Anolis sagrei: one gene and its partners. The protein of the gene in region 1 purifies or fractionates together with the protein of each later gene. This does not show direct contact. Links are inferred from orthologs where the notes say so. Each region holds a gene or a part of one and is shown on either strand. Other genes may lie near its edges. The genes, in order: RPL13, RPLP1, STAU1 and NOM1.

Evidence for each region.
Region 2: the proteins of RPL13 (region 1) and RPLP1 purify together in Homo sapiens (affinity purification with mass spectrometry; 3 studies listed by BioGRID and IntAct, with this or other methods). This does not show direct contact. The link is inferred for Anolis sagrei from reciprocal best matches to the Homo sapiens genes RPL13 and RPLP1.
Region 3: the proteins of RPL13 (region 1) and STAU1 purify together in Homo sapiens (affinity purification with mass spectrometry; 3 studies listed by BioGRID and IntAct, with this or other methods). This does not show direct contact. The link is inferred for Anolis sagrei from reciprocal best matches to the Homo sapiens genes RPL13 and STAU1.
Region 4: the proteins of RPL13 (region 1) and NOM1 purify together in Homo sapiens (co-immunoprecipitation; 3 studies listed by BioGRID and IntAct, with this or other methods). This does not show direct contact. The link is inferred for Anolis sagrei from reciprocal best matches to the Homo sapiens genes RPL13 and NOM1.

Annotation. Positions count from the first base shown.
Region 1 is NC_090028.1:27,718,538-27,725,664, forward strand, and holds the start of RPL13 (large ribosomal subunit protein eL13), read left to right. Parts: upstream 1-4,109; 5' UTR 4,110-4,207; intron 4,208-4,231; exon of another isoform or gene 4,232-4,271; intron 4,272-7,127. UniProt on the Homo sapiens protein: Component of the ribosome, a large ribonucleoprotein complex responsible for the synthesis of proteins in the cell.
Region 2 is NC_090024.1:10,970,826-10,978,038, reverse strand, and holds the start of RPLP1 (large ribosomal subunit protein P1), read left to right. Parts: upstream 1-4,196; 5' UTR 4,197-4,337; coding exon 4,338-4,409; intron 4,410-4,722; coding exon 4,723-4,797; intron 4,798-7,213. UniProt on the Homo sapiens protein: Plays an important role in the elongation step of protein synthesis.
Region 3 is NC_090024.1:220,680,117-220,688,032, forward strand, and holds the start of STAU1 (double-stranded RNA-binding protein Staufen homolog 1), read left to right. Parts: upstream 1-4,902; 5' UTR 4,903-5,080; intron 5,081-7,916. UniProt on the Homo sapiens protein: Binds double-stranded RNA (regardless of the sequence) and tubulin.
Region 4 is NC_090026.1:119,310,131-119,317,249, reverse strand, and holds the start of NOM1 (nucleolar MIF4G domain-containing protein 1), read left to right. Parts: upstream 1-4,115; 5' UTR 4,116-4,174; coding exon 4,175-5,194; intron 5,195-6,556; coding exon 6,557-6,681; intron 6,682-7,119. UniProt on the Homo sapiens protein: Plays a role in targeting PPP1CA to the nucleolus.

The DNA of each region.
Region 1 (7,127 bases):
GCATTGACCTTGAGTTTTGTACACCTACATCCAGAGAGCACTGTGGACTCAAACAAAAATGGATCTGGACCAAACTTGGCACAAATATTCCAAATGCCCAACTAGGAACACATATGGAGCTTGGGGGGAAATGGTCCTTAACATTTGGGAGTTGTAGTTATTGAGATTTATAGTTCACCAAAAATCAAAGAGAATTCTGAACCCCACCAACGATAGAATTGGGGCAAACTTCCCACACAGAACCCCTATGACCGGTAGAAAATACTTAAGACCATCCAGTCCAACTCCCTTCACCAGGGCAAGAAAATGTAATCAAATACAGTTTACCCACAAGCATAAAGGAGATTCTTCATTAGTTCATGACCTCATGCGAAGTTGCTTATCAATGTTTTTAGAATATAATGAGATTTCAGTTTCCAAAGTAACAATTTGTTGTAAAAAGTTCTTCATCAATATATAACATCAGGAATAGTACATAATACAACAAGGTCTCTGTTTCCTTGTTTTGTAATATCTTCTTCTGGTGTTATTCTTATCTATGATGTTTGAATTCACCGAATAAGAAATAAAACAACATACAGAAAATAGATATATTAAAATCCCCATATTGACATAGTTTCAACCTTTTCAAAACTATGCATGAGGTCATGAACTAATGAAGAATCTCCTGGTATATAGTAATTGTCACTTTGGAAGCTTAAATTTCATTGTGTTTACAGAATATTGATAAGCAACCTTTCATTTATAAACAGTTCCCGCTGTTCCCACGTTTTGTTGAATGAAGATTTTCCTGTAATATAGAAATTGTGATTTGCAATCTGCAGGTTTTTTTTTCTGCAGTTATTATAGATATCTGTGCATGTTACACACATCCAGTCCAACCCCCTGCCAAGAAGCAGGAAAATTGCATTCAAAGCACCCCTGAGAGATGGCCATCCAGCCTCTGTTTAAAAGCCTCCAAAGAAGGCGCCCCCACCACACTCCGGGGCAGAGAGTTCCTGCCTGAGCTGATTCCTACCTGGGGGAATCCTTTGTTGGAAGGTCTTTGCTGGCCCCAATTGTTTCATATCTGGAATTCCCCTGTTTTCAGAGTGTTGTTCTTTATTTACTTTCCTAATTTTAAAGTTTTTAGAAAAAGTCAGATTTTTTTCATTTTCTGGGTTTCCTCCATGACTACACAGAAAAGCCTTTGAAATCCACAAGCATGTGGACAATTTCAACAGAAAGGACAATTTGGACAATTTCAACATGAAAATGAACACATTCTAGCTGCAAGTGTTAAAAATCTCTAAAATTAGGACAGGAAAGAAAGAACAGCACTCTGAAAACAGGGGAGTTCCGGACAAGAATCAATCAGGGCCAACTAATACCTCCCAACAAAGGATTCCCCCAGACAGTAAGAAATCAGACCTTGAAGTTGCAAGGCCATGAAATGCTAATCGAGGTGGCCAATTGCAACATTCACACCTGCCTCAAACAGACAAGAGTTCTTTATCCCACCCTGGACATTATTCCACAGATATATAAATGCCATTTCCTAGTTTCCAACAGACCACAACCTCTGAGGATACCTGTCACAGATGCAGGCAAAACATCAGGAAAAGCTTTTGGGGGTTTTTAAAGTCCCATCGGCTGTGTTTTTAAGTGTTTTTATGAGTGAAGGACATACATTGGGTTGTTAGGTGTAGTGTGTCCAAATTTTGTGTGACTTCACCTAACTGTCCTGCGAGTGTCCATCACCCATAAACACGCGCGCACACTCACACAAAACCCCAGCGGAACAGACTTAAAACCCCCAAAAATACACCATATATACATATACTCATATACATATGCACATACACACATTCATACACACACACGTATATATATGCACAAATATACATATACACACACACACATATACACACATACATGCACACATATATATACATATACACAATATGCATGTACACATATAAACACACAAATCTATTTTTTTGTTCATTCGTTCAGTCGCTTCCGACTCTTCGTGTCCTCATGGACCATCCCATGCCAAAGCGCCCTATCGGCCGTCACCACCCCCAGCTGCTTCAAAGTCAAGCCCGTCACTTCAAGGATGCCATCCATCCATCTTGCCCTTGGTCGGCCCTTCTGCCTCTTTCCTTCCATTTTCCCCAGCATCATTGTCTTCTCTAAGCTTTCCTTTCTTCTCATGATGTGGCCAAAGTACTTCATCTTGGCCTCTACTATCCTTCCCTCCAATGAGCAGTTGGGCTTTTAATCCTGAAGTATGGACTGGTTGGATCTTCTCGCAGTACACAAATATATACACACAAATATATATACACACATAAGATATATATATATATTTAGAGAGAGAGAGAGAGAGAGGTGTATATATGGGTGTGTACATATATATGTGTGGATGTATATACACAAATATATACACCCACATATATATGTATGGGAGCCCCCGGTGGCGCAGTGGGTTAAAGCACTGAGCTACTGAGCTTGTTGATCGAAAGGTCGCAGGTTCGATTCCGGGGAGCGGCGTGAGCTTCCGCTGTCAGCCCTAGCTTCTGCCAACCTAGCAGTTCGAAAACATGAAAATGTGAGTAGATCAAGAAGGTAACGGCGCTCCATGCAGTCATGCCGGCCACATGACCTTGGAGGTGTCTACGGACAACGCTGGCTCTTCGGCTTAGAAATGGAGATGAGCACCACACCCCAGAGTCAGACATGACTGGACTTAGTGTCAGGGGACTACCTTTTGTTGTTGTTCATTCGTTCAGTCGTCTCCTACTCTTTGTGACCTCATGGACCAGTCCACGCCAGAGCTCCCTGTCGGCCGTCACTACCCCCAGCTCCTTCAAGGTCAGTCCAGTCACTTCAAGGATGCCATCCATCCATCTTGCCCTTGGTCGGCCCCTCTTCCTTTTGCCTTCCACTTTCCCCAGCATAATTGTCTTCTCTAGGTTTTGCTGTCTCCTCATGATGTGGCCAAAGTACTTCAACTTTGTCTCTAGTATCCTTCCCTCCAATGAGCAGTCGGGCTTTATTTCCTGGAGGATGGACTGGTTGGATCTTCTCGCAGTCCAAGGCACTCTCAGAACTTTCCTCCAACACCACAGCTCAAAAGCATCGATCTTCCTTCGCTCAGCCTTCCCTAAGGTCCAGCTCTCACATCCGTAGGTTACTACAGGGAATACCATGGCTTTGACTAGGCGGATCTTTGTTGCCAGTCTGATGTCTCTACTCTTCACTATTTTATCGAGACTGGACATTGCTCTCCTCCCAAGAAGTAAGCGTCTTCTGATTTCCTGGCCACAGTCTGCATCTGCATTAATCCTTGCACCTAGAAATACAAAGTCTGTCACGGCCTCCACGGTTTCTCCCTCTATTTTCCAGTTGTCAGTCATTCTTGTTGCCATAATCTTGGTTTTTTTGACGTTTAGCTGCAACCCGGCTTTTGCGCTTTCTTCTTTCACCTTGATTAGAAGGCTCCTCAGCTACTCCTCGCTTTCGGCCGTCAGAGTGGTGTCATCTGCATATCTGAGGTTGTTAATGTTTCTTCCAGCAATTTTCGCCCCAGCTTTGCACTCATCAAGCCCCGCACATCGCATAATGTGTTCTGTATACAAGTTAAAAAGGTTGGGTGAGAGGATGCAGCCTTGCCGGACGCCTTTCCCAATCTTGAACCAGTCTGTTGTTCCGTGGTCAGTTCTGACTGTTGCTACTTGGTCCTTGTACAGATTCCTCAGGAGAGAGGGAAGGTGGCTTGGGATGCCCATCCCACTAAGAACTTGCCACAATTTATTATGATCCACACAGTCAAAGGCTTTAGAGTAGTCAATGAAGCAGAAATAGATGTTTTTCTGAAACTCCCTGCCTTTCTCCATACATCCATAGGCATGTATACGCAAACACAAATATGTACACACATAAATACACAAAACAAATATACACAGTCTGGGCCACAGCAACGCGTGGCAGGGGACGGCTAGTAAATAAATATAAAGAAGAAGCAGCCAGGAGCGCGCGGCTCCTTTAAAACCGTCGCCATGTTTGTTGATGGCACGGATCTGCATGTCGCTGAGCAGCTGACGCCGCCAAAGGCCCTGATTCGGAGACTTCCGTTTCTGGCCCACGCACAGCGTTACACATATCCCGGCGTCCCGTGCGGCGCTTCTTTCTTTTTCCGGCCGGCCATTTTCCCTCCCGGGAGGTGAGTTCTTGTGTCGCGGAGGGGGACGGGGCGTTATCTGCCGCCATCCTCCGCCTGAAGCGGGGTGAGTGGCTCTTCAGGCGAGCGGGGGGATTCTCGGGGGCCCCACGACTACGAAGGCAGGCTTCTTTGGGGCGGGGAGGGAAAGGCCGCCCTGGAAGTGAGCGGCCCCTCCGAGGCGCTGTCAAGGCCTGGGCCGCCATCGATTCTTGTCAATGGGAATATTTGCTTGATAGTTGGGTTCCGTAGGAAATTCACGACCCTCTTTAGTATAATTAAAGGTATATTGGTGAGTGGGGAGGGGCTTCCTTCTGGGTGTCTTTGGTTTATTCCCATTTTAATCTCCCCATTTTAATAGCCATAGGCTTCATATAGCAGTAGTTGTTGCTGCCCTTAGCCACCTTTGTTTAGGTAACTATGCATGTCTCTACACAAGGCATAGGCCAACTTGAGCCCTCCAGGTGTTTTGGACTTCAACTCCCACAATTCCTAACAGCCTACGGCTGTTAGGAATTGTGGGAGTTGAAGTCCAAAATACCTGGAGGGCCCAAGTTGGCCCATGCCTTTTCTACACTGTAGAATTAATGCAGTTTGACATCACTTTTTACTATTGGCTCATTGCTGTGGAATGTGGGCTTTGCAGTTTTACTATACCAAACATAGGCCAACTTGGACCCTCCAGGTGTTTTAATATAAATTGTATTATATGTTGCAATATAATATATTGTATGTACTACAACTTACGATACAATATATAATGCTAACATAATATACTAGTAGTGTATTATATATATCGTGGTATAATAATATCTCGATAAAATAGTAAAGAGTAGAGACATCAGGCTGGCAACAAAGATCCGCCTAGTCAAAGCCATGGTATTCCCTGTAGTCACCTACGGATATGAGAGCTGGACCTTAGGGAAGGCTGAGCGAAGGAAGAGAGATGCTTTTGAGCTGTGGTGCTGGAGGAAAGTGCTGAGAGTGCCTTGGACTGCGAGAAGATCCAACCAGTCCATCCTCCAGGAAATAAAGCCCGACTGCTCACTGGAGGGAAAGATACTAGAGACAAAGTTGAAGTACTTTGGCCACATCATGAGGAGACAGGAAAGCCTAGAGAAGACAATGATGCTGGGGAAAGTGGAAGGTAAAAGGAAGAGGGGCCGACCAAGGGCAAGATGGATGGATGGCATCCTTGAGGTGACTGGACTGACCTTGAAGGAGCTGGGGGTGGTGACGGCCGGCAGGGAGCTCTGGCGTGGGCTGGTCCATGAGGTCACGAAGAGTCGAAGACGACTGAACGAATAAACAATAATAATATAGTACTATGTAGTACCAATGATAGGATACAATCTATATAAATAAAAATGTAATGTTGCTTTGTGGGATTAACATAACTCAAAAACCACTGGACGAATTGACACCAAATTTGGACACAAGATACATATCAGGCCAACGAGTGACCATCACTCGTAAAACACTGAAAACACAGCAGAAGAGACTTTAAAAGCCAAAAAAGCAAAACATACATTGCAACGCATGCACAAAACCACATATATACACAACATGCACATGTACATAAATATATACAGAAATATATACACACACAAAACATATATACATAGACTGGGACACAGCAATGCGTGGCAGGGGACAACTAGTATTTATTTATACCGCCTTTCTCAGCCGAAATGGCGACTCAAGGCGGTTTACACAGTAAAGATTAACACAATAACATCAAAAGGCAATTAAAAACACAGTTATACAAAACATATACAAATATATATAATACTAACATTATAACGTACTGATAATGTATGTTTTGTGGCATAATATAGTACAATGTAGTACTACTGAGCTGCTGAACTAAGGGACCAAAAGGTTGGCAGTTTGGATCTGGGGAGTGGGGTGAGCTCCCACTCCCAGATTCTGCCAACATAGCAGTTTGAAAACATGCAAATGTGAGTAGATCAATAGGTACCGCATCTGCGGGAAGGTAACTGTGCTCCATGCAGTCATACCGGCCACATGATCTTGGAGGTGTCTGGACAATGCCGGCTCTTCAGCTTAGAAATGGAGATGAGCACCAACCCTCAGAGTCGGACACAACTAGACTTAATGTCAAAGGGAAACCTTTACCTATGCAATAATACACAACAATATTATTGTATATGATATATAATATTGCTAGTAATATTGCAGTATAATGTGTTCTTATTTTTGATGTAGATGTGGATTTGTTTTAGGGATTTGGGGGTTCGTTGTTTTTGTCTTTGTCCAGTTTTTCACTGCATTTAATGTTTGCCGATATCTGTTGTAAACCACCCTGAGACCCCTCAGGGAGACAAGGTGGGATATAAATAAAGTTTTGTTATTATTTTGGACTTCCAACTCTCAAAATACCTGGAGGGCCCAATTTGGCCTGTTCCTGGTCTATATTTTACAATGAATGCAGCTCAGCTCCTTGCAAAACTACAGCTCCCAGGATTCCATAGCCTTGAGCCATGGGGGGCCAAACTGTATTAATGCTACAGTGTAGATTCACTATGGACCATGTAGTTTTATCTAACATACATTAGTTTGCTATTGTGGTATGTCTTAAAGGCTAATCAATAAAATTATTATCAAAACACATTTTACATGAAGTAAATGTGTACTATGCTATTAGTGTATACTCTGTAAAATATTGCGGCTTCATATAATAATTTTATACAACAATTTCGTAATTGTTCTTATCAGTTACAGGAGACCTATAGAATTAGGGAACTTGGTTAGACTCTGCAGAGGAGTTAGTATTAATTGGATTCAGTGGTGTATTTCAGGGGTCCTCAAACTAAGGCCTGGGGGCCAGATACAGCCCTCCAAGGTCATTTACCCGGCCCTCACTCAGGGTCAACCTAAGTCTGAAACGACTTGAAAGGAC
Region 2 (7,213 bases), on another chromosome or scaffold:
TGTCCATAGACACATCCAAGTTCATATACTGTATTATCGTTATATATATATATACACACACACACTATGTATATATATAAGCCGCTCTGAGTCCCCTTATTTATTATTTATTATTATTCACCCCGAATAATTTTTTATTATTATTATTATTGTTCACCCCGAAGGGGACTCAGAGCGGCTTACTATATATATATATATACACACACACTGTAGTATTATTATTATGATTATATATATACAACCCCCCTGTTGCGCCAACTCCACTGGCTACCGATCTGCTACCGGGCTGAATTCAAAGTGCTGGCGTTGGCCTTTAAAGCCCTAAACGGTTCCGGCCCAAGCTACCTATCTGACTGCATCTCTGCCTATGAACCCACCAGGAGTTTGAGATCTTCCGGGGAGACCCTGCTCTCGATCCCGCCTGCTTCTCAAGCTCGGCTGGCGGGGACGAGAGATAGGGCCTTTTCTGTGGTGGCCCCCCGGCTTTGGAACACCCTCCCCATAGAGGTACGATCAGCCCCTTCGCTGATGGTGTTTCGGAAAAGATTGAAGACATGGATGTTTAAACAAGCATTCGGTTAATCCGTTGTAACGAATTGTGATGACTAAGGATTGGTTATACACGGACGATGAATTTTGGATTACGATTCCAGTTATGAGATGCATAGGATTGTTATTGGTGGCCCAATAATTTGTACTGTATATGTGTTTTATGCTTTTAACTGAATATTGTTTTTTAAATGTTGTAAACCGCAATGAGTCGCCGATTTAGGCTGAGATATTAGCGGTATACAAGTGCATTAATAAATAAATAAATAATAAATATATATATAGTCATAGAAAGGAAGGAGGGAGGGAGGCCGCTCTTGCCTCAGGACTTCCACCAGGCCTCGCCCTCAGAGATGCGGCCTTCTCTTCCCTCAAACAACCCTCCTCAGGGTTTCCCGCCTCGGAGCCACCCTCAAGTGGGCCTGCTTTTCGCTCACACGAAACAAATAGAAAACAAGACTCATTATTATTATTGGGAAGATGTGAACTCAACAATGGACAGGGTATAGGGATTTTAGCTTTGAAGATCCCCACCGCTATCACCAGTTGCGAGGAGGTGCTTGTGTGTTGCTGAGGTCCTAATAATGGAAGTATTTTACCTCAGGCACTTTTTAATCTCACCGCTGCCACCAACTGTACAGATGTGGGTGTTATGGAGGGAATTTACCTCAGGCCTCAATGGTGTAGAAGAGAATATTATGGAGGAGGCCAATTATTATTTGTAAATTAAGGTAACGGCCACCAACAGTTTGAGGTACCACCGATGAGATCTGGCTCTACAGACGCAGATTAGTTGAGATGAGACGGTTTTCAACAAAGATAACAACTTTATTGTGTACAAAGCTTATAGTTGCAGGCTGTTAAATAACTTATGGAACTTTGAACATCATGTGGTTTATAATACAGTCCACTCTTCCAGATAAACGGTTCCAGCCCAAGATACTTATATGACCGCATCTTGGCCTACGAGCCCACGGGGACTTTGAGATCGTCCGGGGAGGCCCTGCTCTCGATCCCGCCTGCCTCACAGGCACACCTGGCGGGGACAAGAGACAGGGCCTTCTTGGTGGTGGCTCCTCGGCTGTGGAACACCCTTCCCATGGACATCAGACTGGCTCCTTCCCTGATGATATTCCACAGGAAACTAAAGACCTGCCTGTTCAAGAAGGCGTTCGAACAAGAAGTGCAATAATTGGTAATGACGACAGGAATGGAACAACGGAAAATGATACTGGATTGTGGTTTAACGATGAGACGACGCAAATGGCTTTTTGTATTATTGATATTGTTGATGTTGTTGATGACGATGTTTTTTGTTATTGCTAGATTGATTTTAGATTGTGTCTTGTAATTTGCACCCTGTCCTCTCTATGTTGTACACCGCTGTGAGTCGCCCCCGGGCTGAGAACAGCGGTATATAAGCACAGTAAATAAATAAATAAATAAATAAATAACACAGCTTGTGGCTAACTTTCACTGAAGTGAAGCTCTCTAGTGAACAATGTTTCACTACTACAAATAGCCTTTCAATTTGATCTTCCCTCGATCAAATCTCTGATCTCTAGTCCTTCCTTAACTAGGGATCTTAACTAGGCTTCCGTTTGTCTTCTTTGACTAAAGAATCTGGCCAGGTTTCTTCAGCCCTCCTAGACTGAAAAAACACCAGCCGCTCACACACAAGCCTCTCTCTCAGGCCTTTCCAAGCCTCACTCTCTGGCCTTTTTTAAAAACGCACATAACGTTTCCTGCTTGGCTCCGCTCACTTCTCCCTCTCATGAGCTAGCCAGCCTCGTCTCCTTGGCAACGCTCACTGTGGATTCAAACCAGATGACTCCAGTTTTAGCTACTGTTACAAACAAAAATACATACTCTAACAGTTAAACACAAACATAATAACAATGGCTTCTGCACAATTATTATTATTAGAGCCGTTCAGCAGTGGAATTCTCTGCCCCGGAGTGTGGTGGAGGCTCCTTCTTTGGAAGCTTTTAAACAGAGGCTGGATGGCCATCTGTCAGGGGTGATTTGAATGCAATATTCCTGCTTCTTGGCAGAATGGGGTTGAACTGGATGGCCCATGAGGTCTCTGCCAACTCTTTGATTCTATTGTCTTATCGAAGGCTTTCATGGCCAGATTCACTGGGTTGCTGTAAGTTTTTTGGGCTGTATGGCCATGTTACAGAAGCATTTTCTCCTGACGTTTCGCCAGCATCTAGGGCAGGCATCCTCAGAGTTTGCGAGATTTATTGGAAACTAGGCAAGTGGGGTTTACATAGAATCAAAGAGTTGGAAGAGACCTCCTGGTCTTTAACCCACTGCGCCACCGTATATATAGTATAATATACTACGTATAGTATAATACTAATATTGTGCTATGCTAATATACTGTATAAACTTATATTAATAGTAAGACAATATTATACTATATAATAATATATATAACACTAATATTGTATTGTATTTTGTTGTTCATTCGTTCATTCGTCTCCGACTCTTCGTGACCTCATGGATCAGCCCACGCCAGAGCTCCCTGTCGGCCGTTACCACCCCCAGCTCCCTCAAGGTCAGTCCAGTCACTTCAAGGATGCCATCCATCCATCTTGCCCTTGGTCGGCCCCTCTTCCTTTTGCCTTCCACTTTCCCCAGCATCATTGTCTTCTCTAGGCTTTGCTGTCTCCTCATGATGTGGCCAAAGGACTTCAACTTTGTCTCTGGTATCCTTCCCTCCAATGAGCAGTCGGGCTTTATTTCCTGGAGGATGGACTGGTTGGATCTTCTCGCAGTCCAAGGCACTCTCAGCACTTTCCTCCAACACCACAGCTCAAAAGCATCTATGTTCCTTCGCTCAGCCTTCCCTAAGGTCCAGCTCTCACATCCGTAGGTGACTACATATCTCTGGTTGTATTGTATTGTATAGACATATATTATAAATAATATTGTAATGTATACAATCTTCACAATATAATTATACAATATAATAGAAATATATTAATTATAATAATACATAAGAATATTAATTATAATTGGTATAATATTAATATACCACTAATTAATATATTAGTTATTATACCACTGATAATATACAATAATATATAATGATAATACTGTTTTATTTTGTATATTGGTACGTTTTAAGTTGCCTTATAAGGTTTTTAATTGAAAGTGTGGTGGAGGCTCCTTCTTTGGAGGCTTTTAAGCAGAGGCTGGATGGCCATCTGTCAGGGGTGATTTGAATGCAATATTCCTGCTTCTTGGCCGAATGGGGTGGACTGTATGGCCCATGAGGTCTCTTCCAACTCTTTGATTCTATGATTCTGATTCTATGAACACGCTCTATAACTCTAAGGCGCTTTAAGGCCTGAATCTCCCGGTGGCCATCTTTAAAATTTCTATCTCTATAAGCGCCAACAAGTCCTTCGCTGATTGGACGCTCTTGCTTTCACACCACGCGGTTTTGTCTCACCGGGGAGCATGCCTCGCTCTGATTGGCTTCGCGAACTCTCGCGCAAACCCGGCCGACCAACCCATGAGGCCCACCCTCGCTCTCTGACGCGATTGGCCCTCGAGAAACACAAAGGAGTCGCTTATTGGCCAGCGCGCTGTCCCGAGGCGGCTGCTGATTGGACGAGACGGGCTTGATAAGCGGCGCGGCGGGCGCGAGGCCTTCCTTTCCTTGTTCTGCCTCAGGCCGGAGCGCACAAGGTGCTGCGTCCTTCCGACGAAGCTAAGGCCGAGTTTCCAGCCGGCGACCAGCACCGCGCCCTCTTCTTCCCCTCTCCGGACCCGCCATGGCCTCCGTCTCCGAGCTCGCCTGCATCTACTCCGCCCTCATCCTCCACGACGACGAGGTTGCCATCACGGTCAGTGCCTGAAGTAGGGAAGGAGGCCGGGGAGGAGCGAGGGCGCATGCGCGGAGGCAATGCTGGGAAGCATGCAAAGGCAAACGGGAGGAGCGAGGGCGCATGCGTGGAGGCAATGCTGGGAAGCAAGCATGGGCAAACTTGGGAAGAGCGAGGGCGCATGCGCGGAGCTAATACATGGGCCAACTTGGGCCCTCCCCTCCGGGGGTTTTGGACTCCAACTCCCACAATTCCTAACAGCCTACCGGCCCATGCCTGCATCCAAATAAACCTGCTTTATAGTATCTGACTATGTCATATTCTTTGGTTTTAGGAGGACAAGATCAATGCTCTCATCAAAGCAGCAGGCGTCAATGTGGAACCTTTCTGGCCTGGCCTGTTTGCAAAGGTAAATTCAATCCCAACATTTATCACTGGGTTTTCGTTGGATGGCCAGTATCAGCGTTGGGATCTTTTGTAAGTGCCTCGTAATGGGATACTGATGGGTTGCCAATATCAAGGGATTCAATGAATAGCTTCTAGCTCATGAGAGCAGATATCAGGTAGCTGCTGAAAATTTCAGATACTTGCAGGTTAATATTTATTAACTTGCATCCCACTTTTTTTGCCATGTCAGGAGCGACTTGAGAAACGGCAAGTCGCTTCTGGTGTGAGAGAATTGGCCATCTGCAAGGACGTTGCCCAGGGGACGATGATTTGATGTTTTATCATCCTTGTGGGAGGCTTCTCTCATGTCCCCTGGAGCTGATAGAGGGAGCTCAACTGCCTCTCCCTGGATTCGAACCTGTGACCTGTCGGTCTTCAGTCCTGCTGGCACAGGGGTTTAACCCACTGCATCTCTACATTAGGAGACTCAAAAGTGGCTCACAATTAAAAACATGACAACTTAAAATTATACTCTGTGTATGTATTGCACCGACTGTAGTGCAGCTGGCTGGGAGTCAGCTGCATTAAGATCACTACTGACCAAAAGGTCATGAGTTCGAAGCCAGCCGGGGTCGGAGTGCGCTTCCGACTGTTGTGTAGCTTGCTGTCGGCTTCTGCAGCCCGAAAGAATTGCATCTGTCAAGTAGGAAATTTAGGCACCACTTATGCGGGGAGGCTAATTTAACTAATTTACGACGCCATAAAAATCTTCAGCGACTATGCAAAAAGAATGGAGAACTTCCTGACTGTGAGAGCCATTCGGCAGTGGAACTCTCTGCCCCGGAGTGTGGTGGAGGCTCCTTCTTTGGAAGCTTTTAAGCAGAGGCTGGATGGCCATCTGTCAGGGGTGATTTGAATGCAATATTCCTGCTTCTTGGCAGTGGGTTGGACTGGATGGCCCATGAGGTGTCTTCCAACTCTTTGATTCGATGATTCTATGAGGAAGTACTCCATTGTCACTAATGGATGGTGAAGCGACAATTCCCCTGGTGGCCAGAATACCCTCATGAAAGCTGGAATGTTAAATAGCTTCTGTGTGCCTGTCTATATATGTTGTGTGCTTATGGCATTTAATGTTTGCCACGTATATGTACATTGTAATCTGCCCTGAGTCCCCTGTGGGGTGAGAAGAGTGAAATATAAATACTATAAATAAATAAATGTATTGGCATAGCACATCATTAATATATTGTATTATTAGGATTAGATTGTATTACTTTATAATACTATTATAAAATGTATATAATTTTAGGATAGTATTCTATAACATTTTTATTTATTTATTTACTATATTTTTACCCTGCTCTTCTCACCCTGAAGGGGAATCAGATTAGCTTACAAATTATAGCAAAATTCAATGTCTCAATATTAATACAAATAATAAATATAACATTTCAAATTATAAAATAGTTAAAACATGGATGGAATACAACAGATTAAAACAGTTTCCCAATCACCCTTCCCCCACAGGCCAAACATAAGCCTGCTAGTAAAAGTGGTCTTATGCGTTATTACCACGAGGCGAGGAGATATCAAGTGCTAGTCTAGAAGGCTATAGGATTAGGGTACAGGTGCCACAGTTTTAAATCACAAGATAATGTATATGTTGTTTTCAAGTTATAATACTATTATTTTAAGGTAAGGTCAGGTTGTCCCCTGACATTAAGTCCGGTCATGTCTGACTCTTGGGTGTGGTGCTCATCTCCATTTCTAAGCCAAAGAGCTGGTGTTGTCCATAGACACCTCCAAGGTCATGTGGCCAGCATGACTGCATGGAGTGCCATTATATATAATACTATTATATGTATATATATTATTTTATTAGCATAGCACAATATTAGTATTCTTTTGTATTACATTAGATACTATTATTCATATTAAATGTGTATATATATTATCAGCATAGCACAATATTAGTATTATATATTATATTGTACTATATAATAATTTTCCATCTTGTCTTTACTGATAATATAATATAGTATATTGTATATACATATGATATTATAATGTAATACAATATAATACTAGTAATAATTCAATATTATAATTATATATTTACATTACATGTAATATTACTAATAATATTACAATATAATGGTATAATGCAATATAGTAATATATACTGATATTGTACTATGCTAATAATATAATATATTGTATGAAAATATATATTGTAAGCCGCTCTGAGTCCCCTTCGGGGTGAGAAGGGCAGCATATAAATGCCGTAAATAAATAATAAAATAAATAAATTTATAGGTCGTTTTCCAGTAAAGCTAGGGGTTTACCAGTGAACACAGGTGTTTTTCTAAAGCATGCAAACCAAGTATTCATGGCAAGGGCTGAATTTTCGGTCTCTTCTTCCTATAGTCCACTAT
Region 3 (7,916 bases), on another chromosome or scaffold:
CCTGATCTAGACACTGCATTCCTATTTATGCAGGCCAAAATCCCATTGGCTTTTTTAGCTGCCCCATGGCATGGCTTATGTTTAACTTGTTGTCCACGAGGACTCTAAGATCAGCTTAAGAGACTGAGGGGGAAAAGGAAGGGGCCTGAGGCTGTAAGGAATTATTATTATTATTATTATTATTATTATTATTATTATTATTATCTTTATTTGTACCCCGCTAGCATCTCCCGAAGGACTTGATGCGGCTTACAAAGGCCAAGGCCTCAAAACACAACATAATGATACAAAAACCGAAATCAAATTAAAACAATTAAAGCAATATTAAACAACAAGCAATAAGCAATACACCAAGACACAATAAAACTGGGCCGGGCCAGAGTAATGGGTACAGAATTAAAAGTGCTGATGTGACAGGTGATATGTAAGGATTATAGGGCAAGTGCAGTGTGCAGTGCTCAGCAATCTCAATCCTACTAAAGTGCTTTTGGGACTTATTATGGAGTTTTCCTATTCTGGGAAGGCACATCGGAACAGCCAGGTCTTCAAGTTCTTTCTAAAGACTGCCAATGTAGGGGCGTGTCTAAGATCTTTGGTAAGGGTGTTCCAGAGTCGGGGGGCCACCATAGAAAAGGCCCTGTCTCGCGTCCCCATCAAACACGCCTGCAACGCAGGCAGAATCACGAGCAGGGCCTCTCCGGATGAGCGCAGTGAGTGCGTGGGTTCGTAAACGGAGATGCGGTCATGCAGGTAGGATGGCCCCAAACCGTTTAGGGCTTTGTAGGTAAGCACCTGCACCTTAAACTGGGCTCGGAAAATAAACGGCAGCCAGTGGAGTTCCTTAAACAGGAGGGTTGACCTCTCTCTGTAAGGAGCACCAGTTAACATCCTGGCCGCTGCCCATTGGACCAGTTGGAATTTCTGAGCCGTTTTCAAGGGCAGCCCCACGTAGAGCGCATTACAGTAGTCCAATCTAGAGGTGACCAAGGCATGGATCACTCCGGACAGATCAGCCTTCGCGAGGTAAGGAATGGTGGGAGTTGCAGTCCAAAACACCTGGAGGGCCCAAGCTTGCCCCTGCCTGGTGCAGCTGCCCCCTTATACACCTTATATACAATTTCACAAACAATATGGATAATAATTGCGTGCAGTATCTTGTGTACAGCCCACACAAGAACAACACTGGTCTTTGGATCCATTCTAGATTGAGTCTTGACAGCAAGAAGAACCGGCATCCGAGGACGGATTGGCAATAGCACACCCTTCCGCTTGGCTCCAGAGCTGTAAATCCCACCTCCTGCAAGGCATGCCGGGAGTTGTAGGATTCTGAGCTGCCGCGTGGAGGCAGGCGATAAGCCCTGAAGTTGAGGAGTTGCGTCACTTCCGGGAAGTGCACTTCAAACTTGCTGGGAAACGTAGTTATTTTGAGAGCGGCGAGCGAGAAGGAGAGAGGGCAGATAGGAGTGGGATCATATTGGGAAAGCTTATATATATTAATGATGATGTTAAGTGTTGTTATTAATGATATTTTATTTATTCATCATGGCAGAAGCTAATTGAGAATACAGTTGTAATGTATAAAGAAACCACAAAGTTAAAAACTTGGCATTATACTAAATTTACAATGTATTTTTGAAAGCTTTCATGGCTGGAATCACTAGGTTGTAGGTTTTTGGGGCTATATGGCCATGTTCTAGAAGCATTCTCTCCTGACGTTTCACCCACATCTATGGTAAGTATCCTCAGAGGTTGTGAGGACCTCACAACCTCTGAGGATGCTTGCCATAGATGCAGGCCAAACGTCATAGCATCATAGAATCAAAGAGTTGGAAGAGACCTCGTGGGCCATCCAGTCCAACCCCCTGCCAAGAAGCAGGAATATTGCATTCAAATCACCCCTGACAGATGGCCATCCAGCCTCTGTTTAAAAGCTTCCAAAGAAGGAGCCAACACCACACTCCGGGGCAGAGAGTTCCACTACTGAACGGCTCTCACAGTCAGGAAGTTCTTCCTCGTGTTCAGATGGAATCTCCTCTCTTGTAGTTTGAAGCCATTGTTCCGCGTCCTAGTCTCCAAGAAAGCAGAAAACAAGCTTGCTCCCTCCTCCCTGTGGCTTCCTCTCACATATTTATACATAGCTATCATATCTCCTCTCAGCCTTCTCTTCTTCAGGCTAAACATGCCCAGCTCCTTAAGCTGCTCCTCATAGGGCTTGTTCTCCAGACCCTTGATCATTTTAGTCGCCCTCCTCTTGACACATTCCAGCTTGTCAGAATAAGAGAATTCTTCTAGAACATGGCCATATAGCCCGAAAAACCTACAACAACCCATTTCCTTTGACTAGAAGCTGGCCACTTCGAGTGCCTTTGGTATCGCTGTGGCAAGGTCCTCCATTGTGCATGTGGCAGGGCTCAGATCATATTGTAGTAAGTCGGTGGTTTTCAACCTGTGGGTCCCCAGGTGTATTGGCCTACAACTCCCAGAAATCCCAGCCAGTTTACCAGCTGTTAGGATTTCTGGGAGTTGAAGGCCAAAACATCTGGGGACCCATAGGTTGAAAACCACTGTAGTAAGTGGTCTGTGGTTTGCCCTTCTCTACATTCGCATGTCGTGAACTCCACTTGGTAGCACTATCTCTTAAGATTGGCTCCTTATCTCGTACCAAAATGCAGTTAGTTCAGCACCTTCCAACTCGCCCAGTATCCTGTGTGCCCAGGGGGTGGAAGGGATCTTCTCATTTGGTATTGGCCACTGATTGAGATTCCAAGTTTTAGCCTGCCACTTTTGGATTCTAGCTTGCTGAGATGTTCCTGCGAGTATCTCTAGATCTTAGAAAAATATTTTTTTGATTTATGATGTTGTCCTATTGCAGTGGTTCTCAACCTGGGGTCCCCAGATGTTTTTTGGTAAACTGGCTGGGATTCCTGGGAGTTGTAGGTCAAAACACCTGGGGACCCACAGGTTGAGAACCATTGTCCTATTGCCTGATATTTGAACAGAGGATGTCAATGCCTTGGTCCTTTCATTACAGGCTGCTACTTCCCACCGGATGACAGGTGATGTAATACAGACTAAACAGTATAATTTCTCCAGCGGGGTAGATGTAGGCATACTGTGATAATGCGGCATGTCTCATTAAGAGCCACATCCACTGTTTTAACATAGTGAGATGTATTCCACACTGGGCATGCATACTCAGCATCAGAGTAGCAAAACACAAGGGCTGATGTCTTCACTGTATCTGGTTGTGACCCCCAGGTTGTGCCAGTCAATTTTCGTATGATACTATTTCTGGCACCCACTTTTTGCTTGATATTTTTAAAGTTTATATTGATGTTATCTATGTGTTGTTTTGATTTGTTTTGTTGCTCACTTTGGCATTGAATGTTTGCTGTTTTTTTCTTTTCTTTTCTGGAAGCTGCTGGGGAGATAGGGCAGGTTACAAATACATTATTATTATTATTATTATTATTATTATTATTATCATTATTATTATTATTATTTCCGTGCCTTTTTTGATCATTTTGTTTTGTACTTTATTGTATTTTAACATGTTGGAAGCCACTTTGGCTCCCTTTGTGGGAGAAAAGCAGGATATAATTAAAGATTCATTATTGTTGTTATTTGATACACAACAAGATTGGCACACAGCAAATAACATAACTGCTGGCTTTTGTATTCAATCACACATTGGACACTCCTCAAGTGTCTAGGACTGTGTGAGGTATCGGCGAATAATGTGTGCAGAGCCGAGTAGGGTGGCCTTTTGCAGCTGACAAGATGGTAATTTTGTCAGCGGTGATTGTTTTTAAGCACAGGCCAAGGCCTTTCAGCACTGCACCCAGTGTGCTGATCACCACTGGGACCATTATTATTATTTATATTTCTCATTATGTTCTGTTCTGTTTATCATTTGTCTTAATTTCTAAAGTATTATGTGGTTATTGTTATTTTGTATGGCTTTGCCTTGTCGTAAGCCATTCAGAGTCCCCTACAGGAGAGGGGCTGGATATAAATAAAGATATTATTATTATTATTGATAGAATCATAGAGTTGGAAGAGACCTCGTGGGCCATCCAGTCCAACCCCCTGCCAAGAAGCAGGAATGTTGCATTCAAATCACCCCTGACAGATGGCCATCTAGCCTCTGTTTAAAAACCTCCAAAGAAGGAGCCTCTACCACACTCCGGCGCAGAGATTTCCACTGCTGAATGGCTCTTACAGTTAGGAAGTTCTTCCTCACGTTCAGGTGGAATCTCCTTTCCTGTAGTTTGAAACCATTGTTCCGCGTCCTAGTCTCCAAGGAAGCAGAAAACAAGCTTGCTCCCTCCTCCCTGTGGCTTCCTCTCACATATTTATACATGGCTATCATATCCCCTCTCAGCCTTCTCTTCCTCAGGCTAAACATGCCCAGCTCCTTAACCCGCTCCTCATAGGGCTTGTTCTCCAGACCCTTGATCATTTTAGTCGCCCTCCTCTGGACACATTCCAGCTTGTCAATATCTCTCTTGAATTGTGGTGCCCAGAATTGGACACAATATTCCAGGTGTGGCCTAACCAAAGCAGAATAGAGGGGTAGCATGACTTCCCTAGATCCAGACACTATGCTCCTATTGATGCAGGCCAAAATCCCATTGGCTTTTTTTTTGCCGGTACATCACATTGTTGGCTCATGTTTAACTTGTTGTCCACGAGGACTCCAAGATCTTTTTCACACATACTGCTAAGCGGCTGAGGGGGAAAAAGAAAGGGCCTGAGGCTGTGAGGATTGGTTGTAGTTGAAGTCCAAACACCTGGAAGGCCCAAGTTCGCCCATGCTTGGTCTGTATAAATAGCAAGTGGAGTAGGGCCCCGCCCCTTACGCCGCCGCGCCTGCGTCACTTCCTCCCCCGGCCGGAGCTGGCCCCGCTCTCATTCTCTTTAGTGTTTGCCCTGTGCCTGCCTCCGCCGCCGCCACTCGCTCGCCTCCCCTCCCGCCCTGGACCCCTCCCCGCCCGCCCTGCCCGGAGCCTCCGATGGACTGAGCCGCCCGCCGCCCACACGAGCCGGCCCGGGAGCCGCAGCCCAGAAGAAGCACCAGGTGAGGGAAGGGAGGGAAGAGGCTGGGACGCCCCCCTCCCGTGGCCTCCCCTCGCAGCCCTTCGGGGGAGAAGGAAGAGCAGGAGGAGGAGGAGGAGACCGCGGTTGGGCCTAAGCCCAGGAGGAGGAGGAGGAGGGGTCTGGCGGAGGCTCCTCTCCTCTCCTCTGGTTGAAGGCCGGCCGGTGGGGGCGCCCGACTGCGGAGGAAGACCCCTTCCCCGGGGAACTCCAGCTTCCCGATTATAAATGGCCCCCACGAGAGGCCGAGAGAGTGACACCTTGACTTTTCAGATGGTGAAAGGTTCCCCCCTCCCCATGAGAGGGGGAGACACCCACGAGGGCCTTCCACACAGCCATATAACCCAGAATATCAAGGCAGATAATCCACAATGTCTATTTGGAACTGAGTTATCTGAGGGTCCTTCCGCACAGCCATATAACCCAGAATATCAAGGCAGATAATCCACAATATCTGGTTGGAACTGGGTTATCTGAGAGCCCTTCCACACAGCCATACAACCCAGAATATCAAGGCAGATAATCCACAATATCTGCTTGGAACTGGGTTATTTTAGGGCCCTTCCACACAGCCATATAACTCAGAATATCAAGGCAGATAATCCACAACATCTAGTTTGAATTGGGTTATTAGAAGGCCCTTCCACACAGCCATATAACTCGGAATATCAAGGCAGATAATCCACAATATATGTTTGAATCTGGGTTATTAGAAGGCCCTTCCACACAGCTATATAACTCAGAATATCAAGGCAGATAATCCACAATATCTGCTTGGAACTGGGTTATTTTAGGGCCCTTCCACACAGCCATATAACTCAGAATATCAAGGCAGATAATGCACAATATCTGTTTGTTACTGGGTTAACTGAGGGCCCTTCCACCCAGCCATATAACTCAGAATATCAAGGCAGATAATCCCCAATATCTATTTGGAACTGGGTTATCTCAGGTCCCTTCCACACAGCCATATAACTCAGAATATCAAGGTAGATAATCCACAACATCTAGTTTGAATTGGGTTATCTGAGGGACCTTCCACATAGCCATATAACCCAGAAAATCAAGGCAGATAATTTGCAATATCTGGTTGGAATTGGGTTATCTGAGGGCCCTTCCACACAGCCATATAACCCAGAAAATCAAGGCAGATAATCCACAATACCTATTTGGAACTGGGTTATCTGAGGGCCTTTCCACACAGCCATATAACCCAGAAAATCAAGGCAGATAATCCACAATGCCTATTTGGAACTGGGTTATCTGAGGGCCCTTCCACACAGCCATATAGCCCAGGATATCAAGGCAGAAAATCCCGCAATATCTGCTTTTAACTAGAGCCCCTTCCACACAGCTGAATAAAAACCCACATTATCTGCTTTGAATTGGATTGTATAAGTGTGAACTCAGATAACCCAGTTCTAGAGCAAATATTGTGGGATTTTCTGTCTTGATATTCTGACTGTGGGCCCTTCCACACAGCCCTATATCCCAGAATATCAAGGCAGAAAATCCCACAATATCTGCTTTGAATTGGGTTATTGGAGTCCACACAGATAATGTGAGATTTTCAGCCTTGATATTCTGGGATATAGAACTGTGTGGAAGGGGCCCTAGGGCCTCTTCCACACAGCTGTATAAAATCTACATTGAACTGAATTATATGGTAGTCTGGACTCGGGGCCCTTCCATACAGCCCTATATCCCACAATATCAAGGCAGGAAATCCCACATTATCTGAGTGTGGACTCAGATCACCCGGTTCAAAGCAGATATTGTGGGATTTTCTGCCTTGATATTCTGGGTTATGTAGCTTTGTGGAAGGCCTCCTAGCCTGTGTGCAGGGAGCCACCCTCATGAGTGTCTCAACGTCTAATGTGGGATTTTATTCAGCTGTGTGGAAGGGGGCTTGGCTTAATGTGCAGAATGTTGTTCCAAGAATACGGTGTATGAAACTACCTTCCTACGAAACGTAAACGGGTCCTTGTGTTTGGGCGTGTTGTCTCGTGTGTACATATGCAGGTGTTTCAAAATCTCAGGTCAAAATTACCCTTCCACACAGCTGTATAAAATTCACAGTGAACTTGTTGATATGGCTCAGGCCCCTGGCACTCAGCTGAACAAAATCCCACATTTTCTGCTTTGAACTGGATTATTTGGTAGATATCCCAGTTCAAAGCAGATATTGTGGGATATTCTACCTTGATATTCTGGGTTATATGGCTGTGTGGAAGGGCCCAATGACACTTCTGGCCCCAAGGATTTCAGATCAGGAATACTCCATCTATACAAGGGAAATTTATTTTCTGTTGCCTGTTTGACCTTCTTCTCTACACCTCTCAATTTCTTCTGGGTTTGCAGCTCGCACATCTGTCGCTCCTCATTGCCTCCTCCTCTATAGGCCCTTCCACATAGTCATATAAACCAGAATATCAAGGCAGAAAATCCCACAATATATGCTTTGAACTGGATTATCTGAGTCCACACTGCCATATATTCCTGTTCAAAGCAGATAATGTGGAATTTTATTCAGCTGTGTGGAAGGGGCCTATATCTTCTTTTTTGTGGATTTCCCAGAGACATCTGTGGTTTGGCAGATATGGGGCACAGAGAGACTTATGGTTTGATCCAGGCAGGATTGCTGTTGTGTTATGCATCTGAGGGATAACACTGGTTTACATTATGCTACCAAACTGATTCAGGATGCATCTATGCCAGCCATGGGTAAACTTGGGCCCTCAGGGCATTTTGGACTTCAACTCCTAACAGCTGGTATATGATCTATGCTGTAGAATTCATGTAAAATGCTGTAGAATCAA
Region 4 (7,119 bases), on another chromosome or scaffold:
GCCCACCTGTCTTCCCAAAAGATTTGCAGGATTTTTTTGGAGACAACGCTGATGGAATCGTTCCAGGAGTTGCGTATGACGTCTGTAAGCAGTCCACATTTCGCAGGCGTATAGCAGAGTTGGAAGGACAATAGCTTTATAAACAAGCACCTTGGTATCCCTACGGATGTCCCGATCCTCAAACACTCTCTGCTTCATTTGGAAAAATGCTGCACTCGCAGAGCTCAGACAGTGTTGTATTTCAATGCCAATGATAAATTTTGTGGAGAGGTGGCTGCCAAGGGAGCGGAAATGGCCAACTAATAATATTACAATATAATGGTATAGTGCAATATAGTAATATATAATACTGATATTGTACTATGCTAATAATATAATATATTGTATGAAAATATATATTGTAAATGCCATAAATAAATAAATAATAATAATAACATTTTCTTGTGTTACACCATTAAGCAGTATTTCTGGCATTGCAGAAGGATTGCAGAGGGACTGGCTGGTGACTGCTGGAAGAGCACTTTGGTTTTCTCGATGTTCAATGAGAAGCCGAGCTTCTTGTATGCTTCTCCAAATGTGTTTATAGAGTGGCTTGTAGATCTTTCTGAATGCGCACAGACTACATTGTCATTGGCATATTGGAGTTCTATAACAGATATTGTTGTGACCTTGGTTTTGGCTTTCAGTCTGCTGAGGTTAAATAGCTTGCCATCTGTCAAGATAGTTGATTTCCACTCTGGTGGGAAGTTTCCCATCAACAAGATGAAGTATCATAGCGATGAAGATGGACGTAGCTGCATTCTAATAAGTTGTTGTTGTTGTTCATTCGTTCAGTCGTTTCCGACTCTTCGTGACTTCATGGACCAGTCCACACTAGAGCTCCCTGTCGGCCATCACCACCCCCAGCTCCTTCAAGGTCAATCCAGTCATTTCAAGGATGCCATCCATCCATCTTGTGTGGAGTCCCACAGGGTTCAATTCTGTCCCCGATGTTATTTAACATCTACATGAAGCCGCTGGGGGAGATAATTCGGAGTTTCGGAATGAGGTGTTATCTCTACGCAGATGATGTCCAAATCTGTCACTCCTTCTCACCTGTCACTAAGGAGGCTGTCCAGACCTTGAACCGGTGCTTGGCTGCTGTGTCGGACTGGATGAGAGCTAACAAATTGAAATTGAATCCAGACAAGACAGAGGTCCTACTGGTCAGTCGTAAGGCCAAACAGGGTATAGGGTTACAGCCTGTGTTGGACGGGGTCACACTCCCCCTGAAGACGCAGATTCGCAGCTTGGGTGTGACCCTGGACTCATCGCTGAGCCTGGAACTCCAGGTTTCAGCGGTGACCAGGGGAGCATTCGCACAGTTAAAACTTGTGCGCCAGTTGCACCCGTGCCTTGGGAAGCCTGACTTGGCCACGGTTGTCCATGCTCTAGTCACATCCCATTTAGACTACTGCAGTGCTCTCTACGTGGGGTTGCCTCTGAAGACTGCTCAGAAGCTTCAAATGGTCCAACGATCGGCAGCCAGGATGCTAACAGGAGCGGCACTCAGGGAGCACACCACTCCACTGCTGCACCAGCTCCACTGGCTGCCAATTTGCTACCGGGCACAATTCAAAGTGCTGGCTTTAGGCTTTAAAGCCCTAAACGGTTCTGGCCCGACCTACCTGTCCGAACGAGTCTCCTCCTATGAACCAGTTAGGACATTAAGATCGTCTGGGGAGGCCCTGCTCTCGATCCCACCGGCTTCACAAGCACGCCTGGCGGGGACGAGAGACAGGGCCTTCTCAGTGGTGGCCCCTCGGCTGTGGAACGCCCTTCCTGCAGATATTAGATCGACCCCCTCCTTGCTGGCATTCCGGAGGAAAGTAAAGACCTGGCTGTTTGAACAGGCATTCGACTAAGAGGTGTGATTGATTGACTGACTATCGGAACACGGAATATCGGATAACGAGTTTGGATTCTGATTTCATGGATGAGACCTGATGGATTTGTTATATGGATGTAGTGATGTATTGATATTGATGTTTAATGATTTGTGATGCTATTGCTTTTAAATGCTTAATGATTTTGTATTGTGTATATCTAAATTGTTGTAAACCTCTCTGAGTCGCCTAACGGCTGAGAAGAGCGGTATACAAATAAAGTAAATAAATAAATGTATATATGTCTATCTGTATTATTGTGTAGGCATCGAATTGTGCCTTTTGTAAGCTGCCCTGAGTCCTCCCCTCGGGGGTTGAGAAGGGCGGGTTAGAAATGCCTGAAATAAGTAAATAAATAAATAAAATCTTGCCCTTGGTCAGCCCCTCTTCCTTTTTCCTTCCATTTTCCCCAGCATCATTGTCTTCTCTAAGCTTTCCTGTCTTCTCATGATGTGGCCAAAGTACTTCATTTTGGCCTCTACTATTCTTCCCTCCAATGAGCAGTCAGGCTTGCTTGCTTGCTTGATTTCTAATAAGTGGCTTCTAGCTTTTGCTTGTTGGACCACAACTCCCAGAAGCCCCGGCCACTTTGGGCAATGGCGAGGAACTCTGGGAAATTTATTTTATTTTATTTATTTGTCGTGTCAGGGCAGCCAGTCAATTATATTAAATTTCTAACAGAACAAAGCAAACAAACAGGCAAAATACAAAATTTGTGAGTTTGGTAGTTGATTAAATGTCCTTTGACCAGTATCTGGCCACTTGGAGTGCTTCTGGTGTTGCTGCAAGAAGGTCCTCCATTGTGCATGTGGCAGGGCTCAGGCTGCATTGCAGCAGGTGGTCAGTGGTTTGCTCCTCTCCAGACTTGCATGTTGAGGATTCCATTTTGTAGCCCCATTTCTTGAGGTTGGCTCTGCATCTTGTGGTGCCAGAGCGCAGTCTGTTCAGCGCCTTCCCAGTCGCCCAGTCCTCTGTGTGCCCAGGGGGGAGTCTCTCATTTGGTATCAGCCATTGGTTGAGGTTCTGGGTTTGAGCCAGGCATGTAGCCGGGGGGGGGGGGGGGGGCTTGAGGGGCTTCAGCCTCCCCCCCCCCCCCCAAATTCTCATGGTGGTTCATGAAAAGGCCTTACTGGTGCATTATTTAAACTGTTATGTTTATTCATATCATGATCTGATCACCATACTCAATATATCCCATATGCATGGGGGTATTGGGGCAACGATACAAAAAGTTTGCTAGGCTAGACCCTCTTTCACTCAGACTCAGCCCCCTTGAAACTCACCCCCCCCAAACGGCCCCTGAAAAAAATTCAGCCTCCCCCCCCCCCCCCCCCAAAAAAAAATCCTGGCTACGGGCCTGGTTTGAGCTTGCCACTTTTGGACTCTCACTTGCTGAGGTGTTCCAGCGAGTGTCTCTGTAGATCTTAGAAAACTATTTCTGGATTTAGATCGTTGACGTGCTGGCTGATACCCAAACAAGGGATGAGCTGGAGATGTCTCTGCCTTGGTCCTTTCACTATTGGCTGCTACTTCCCGGCGGATGTCAGGTGGTGCGATACCGGCTAAGCAGTGTAATTTCTCCAGTGGTGTAGGGCGCAGACACCCTGTGATAATGCGGCATGTCTCATTAAGAGCCACATCTACTGTTTTAGTGTGGTGAGATGTATTCCACACTGGGCATGCATACTCAGCAGCAGAGTAGCAAAGCACAAGGGCAGATGTCTTCACTGTGTCTGGTTGTGATCCCCTGGTTGAAGGTACTAATTATACACAGAGCATTTTTATATTAGATAGATAGATAGATAGATGAGATAGATAGATGAGATAGATAGATGAGATAGATAGATGAGATAGATTAGATAAAATAGATTAGATAAGATAGATTAGATAAGATAGATTAGATAAAATAGATTAGATAGATTAGATAGATAGATAGATAGATAGATAGATAGATAGATAGATAGATAGATAGATAGATAGATAGATAGATAGATAGATAGATAGATAGATAGATAGATAGATAGAGTGGCGTCTAGCTTTTGCATGTTGGACCACAACTCCCAGAAGCCCCGGCCACTTTGGGCAACGGCGAGGAACTCTGGGAAATGAAGTCCGAAAGTGAAGCCCTACACAAAGCCTTCGCTGCCTTGCCAGCAGGTGGCGCTGCTCTTGTTTTTGTTTTTCTCCCTTTCCAAAATGGCGGCGCCCATGAAGTGGTGTGTTTGAAGAGAAGGCAGGCCTGCGACACCATGAAGGCCTCTTTCTCCTCACGGGGCCGGGGAAGGCAGGCCGGGAAGCAGCTCCACAAACTGGGCCTGGCGGTGCGGGAGTTCGTGGAGGCCTCAGTCCCGGCGGGGAGCGAAAAGAACGGAAGCAGCGGCTGTGTGCAGGGCCTTCCCAAGCAGAGGCCTCGAGGGAAGCGCCGCGAACTGAGGCGAGAGAAGCGCAAATGGAAGCGAAAGCAACGGCGGTGGCTCCTGAACGGGGGGAAAGTGGAAGAGAAGGAAAAGAAGGCCGTTATGGAGGTGAAAAGGCCTCCCCCATCGCTGCCGCCTTCCTCAGGCAAAAAGGAGAAGGAGAAGAAGCCGAGAAAGGAAGTTCTCCCCACGGGGAAGGCCTCACTTGAGGCGAGGAAGAAGGCGCTGCTGGCGGCCAACGAGGCGGAGGAGAGGGAGATCCGCCGCCTGGAGAGGCAGCTGGGCCTCGGGAAGAGGAGGAAGAAGCGGCGGCAGAAGGGCCTGGAGGAGGCCGAGGCGGCGGCCTTGCCTCGCAGCTTCGCCCTAGATGGTCTGGGCTACGTCTTGGGGGCCTTCGGGCCTGGGGACGCCTTCTCCGGCCTCTACGAGAGCACCACCGAGGAAGAGGAGGAAGAGAGAAAAGGAGGAATGGCCAAGCAAGAGGGAGAAGAAAGTGATGAGGAGGAGGAAGAAGAAGATGGTGATGATGTGGAGAAGGAGGAAGAAGAGGAGGATTTGAGCATGGAAGGAGAAGCTTCAGATGATGAGGATGATGTGGAGAAGGAGGATTTGAGCATGGAGGGAGAAGCTTTAGATGATGATGATGTGGAGAAGGAGGATTTGAGCATGGAGGGAGAAGCTTCAGATGATGATGATGAGGAGGAGGAGGAGGAGGATTTGAGCATGGAGGGAGAAGATTCAGAAGAATCCAGTATGGAAGAAGAAGAAAAGGACAGTGAAGATGGTGGAGATGCCGCCAATGAACTTCAAAGTTCAAGAGGCAGAACTTTGGAGTCGCTCCAAGATGGCGAGGTCTGTGCAAAAGGTTTCTGTGGGTCCAATTCAAACCCTATAAAGCCCTATACCAGTGGTTCTCAACCTGTGGGTCCCCAAGTGTTTTGGCCTACAACTCCCAGAAATCCCAGTTTACCAGCTGTTAGGATTTCTGGGAGTTGAAATCCAAAATATCTGGGGACCCACAGGTTGAGAACCACTGCCCTATACAGTTTGGGTCCTGCCGGTTTACGTGACCACATCTCTCCTTATGAACCAGTACAGGCTCTAAGATCAGCTGGGGAGGCCCTTTGCTTAATCCCACCTCCCTTACAAGCAAGGTTGGTGGGGACAAGGGAGAGGGCCTTCTCAATAGTGCCCCTCCGACTTTGGAATGCCCTCCCCAGGGAAATTAGATGGCAATAGTATGATAGTATGGGAGCCCCCAGTGGCACAGTGGATTAAAGCGCTGAGCTGCTGAGCTTGTTAACTGAAAAGCTGCAAGTTCCCTGTCAGCCCCAGCTTCTGCCAACCTAGCAGTTCAAAAACATGCAAATGTGAGTAGATCAATAGGTCTACTGGTGGGAAGCTAACAGCACTCCATGTAGTCATGCTGGCCACATGACCTTGGAGGTGTCTACAGACAACGCTGGCTCTTCGGCTTAGAAATGGAGATGAGCACCACACCCCAGAGTCGGACACAACTGGACCTAATGTCAGGAGAAAACCTGTACCTTTACTAGTATGATAGCGGGGACCCTACGCTATGTTGCTCGCACAACACGGGTCTGAATTAGGGGAACATATGCGTGAGTCAGCGCACTGAATGAAAGACACAACTGTAGCGGAGTCATAATGGAAGGAAGGATAAAAAGGAGGGGGGAAAGACGACCAATGGAAGGAAGAATAAAAAGGAGGTGGAAAATACTGTTACATTACCTTATCCGGTCTCTTCTGAGTTAAATTACTTCACTGCTATGCTGTCGCAGCTGGGTCTCTCACTCACTCCGCTGTCTCGCACACGTGTTCCCTTCATTAATTCTGACCCTCGTTGCGCAATTAGCGTAGGGTCTCAGCTATCATACTTTTGCCAATTAGACAAGCACCCACCCTCATAACATTCAGGAAGGAGATGAAAACCTGGTTGTTTAAGCAGGCTTTTAATAATGGCTAAAAGTATCATGCATCCTGAAATGGTTTGGGATGTGTAGTATTACTAGTTATTATCCTCATGGCACTAACTGCCTATGCTTTTTTTTAAAGTAGCCTTTTGTGAAGTTCACATTGATAGTATAATGAAATACATACAATGAACTGCTTAGTCATCTTCAATCTAAATATTCAGATATATTCTGAAATACAAAATTACTTACTAAAACATTTTGTCCTTGTTTTGTTTAGAGCCTTACCCAGAGTGCCACTAAATATGTTCCCCCTCAGATGCGAAGGTCTGAAGAGACATTAGATGCAAAGAAGATGGAAGAATTAGAAAGGCTGAAAAAAAGTTTGAAAGGTTTAATTAACAGGTACTCCAGAAATTGTGTTAACCAACTTTGTCTTAGAGTTCAACCAACAGGGCTTGAGTAGAACTTATTTTTCATGGCTGCATGTCTAGCACCTCTTTTGCTTTGTCGTTTGGCTTTTCAGAACAAAATTAGTATCTTTCCTCCCTTCCACTCCATATGTGTGATCATATGCTAGGTTTGATATGAAACATGGCATCTGACATTCAGATTCTCAGCCAGCAATTTTGAAAGAGGTTTATTTATCTCCACAATTATTCTGTTAATGTTTATGGAGCTTAAGAAAGTTTGTAATCTGTATTAAATACATGCAGTTTATCACAAATGAGGCTGGGTTCTATAGGTATGTTTCATCTGAAGAAAATAGATTTAAATGCATATACAGTATGTTTATTCAAAGTTGCATCTGATCACCCTTAAATCATAACTAGGATCTTGTAA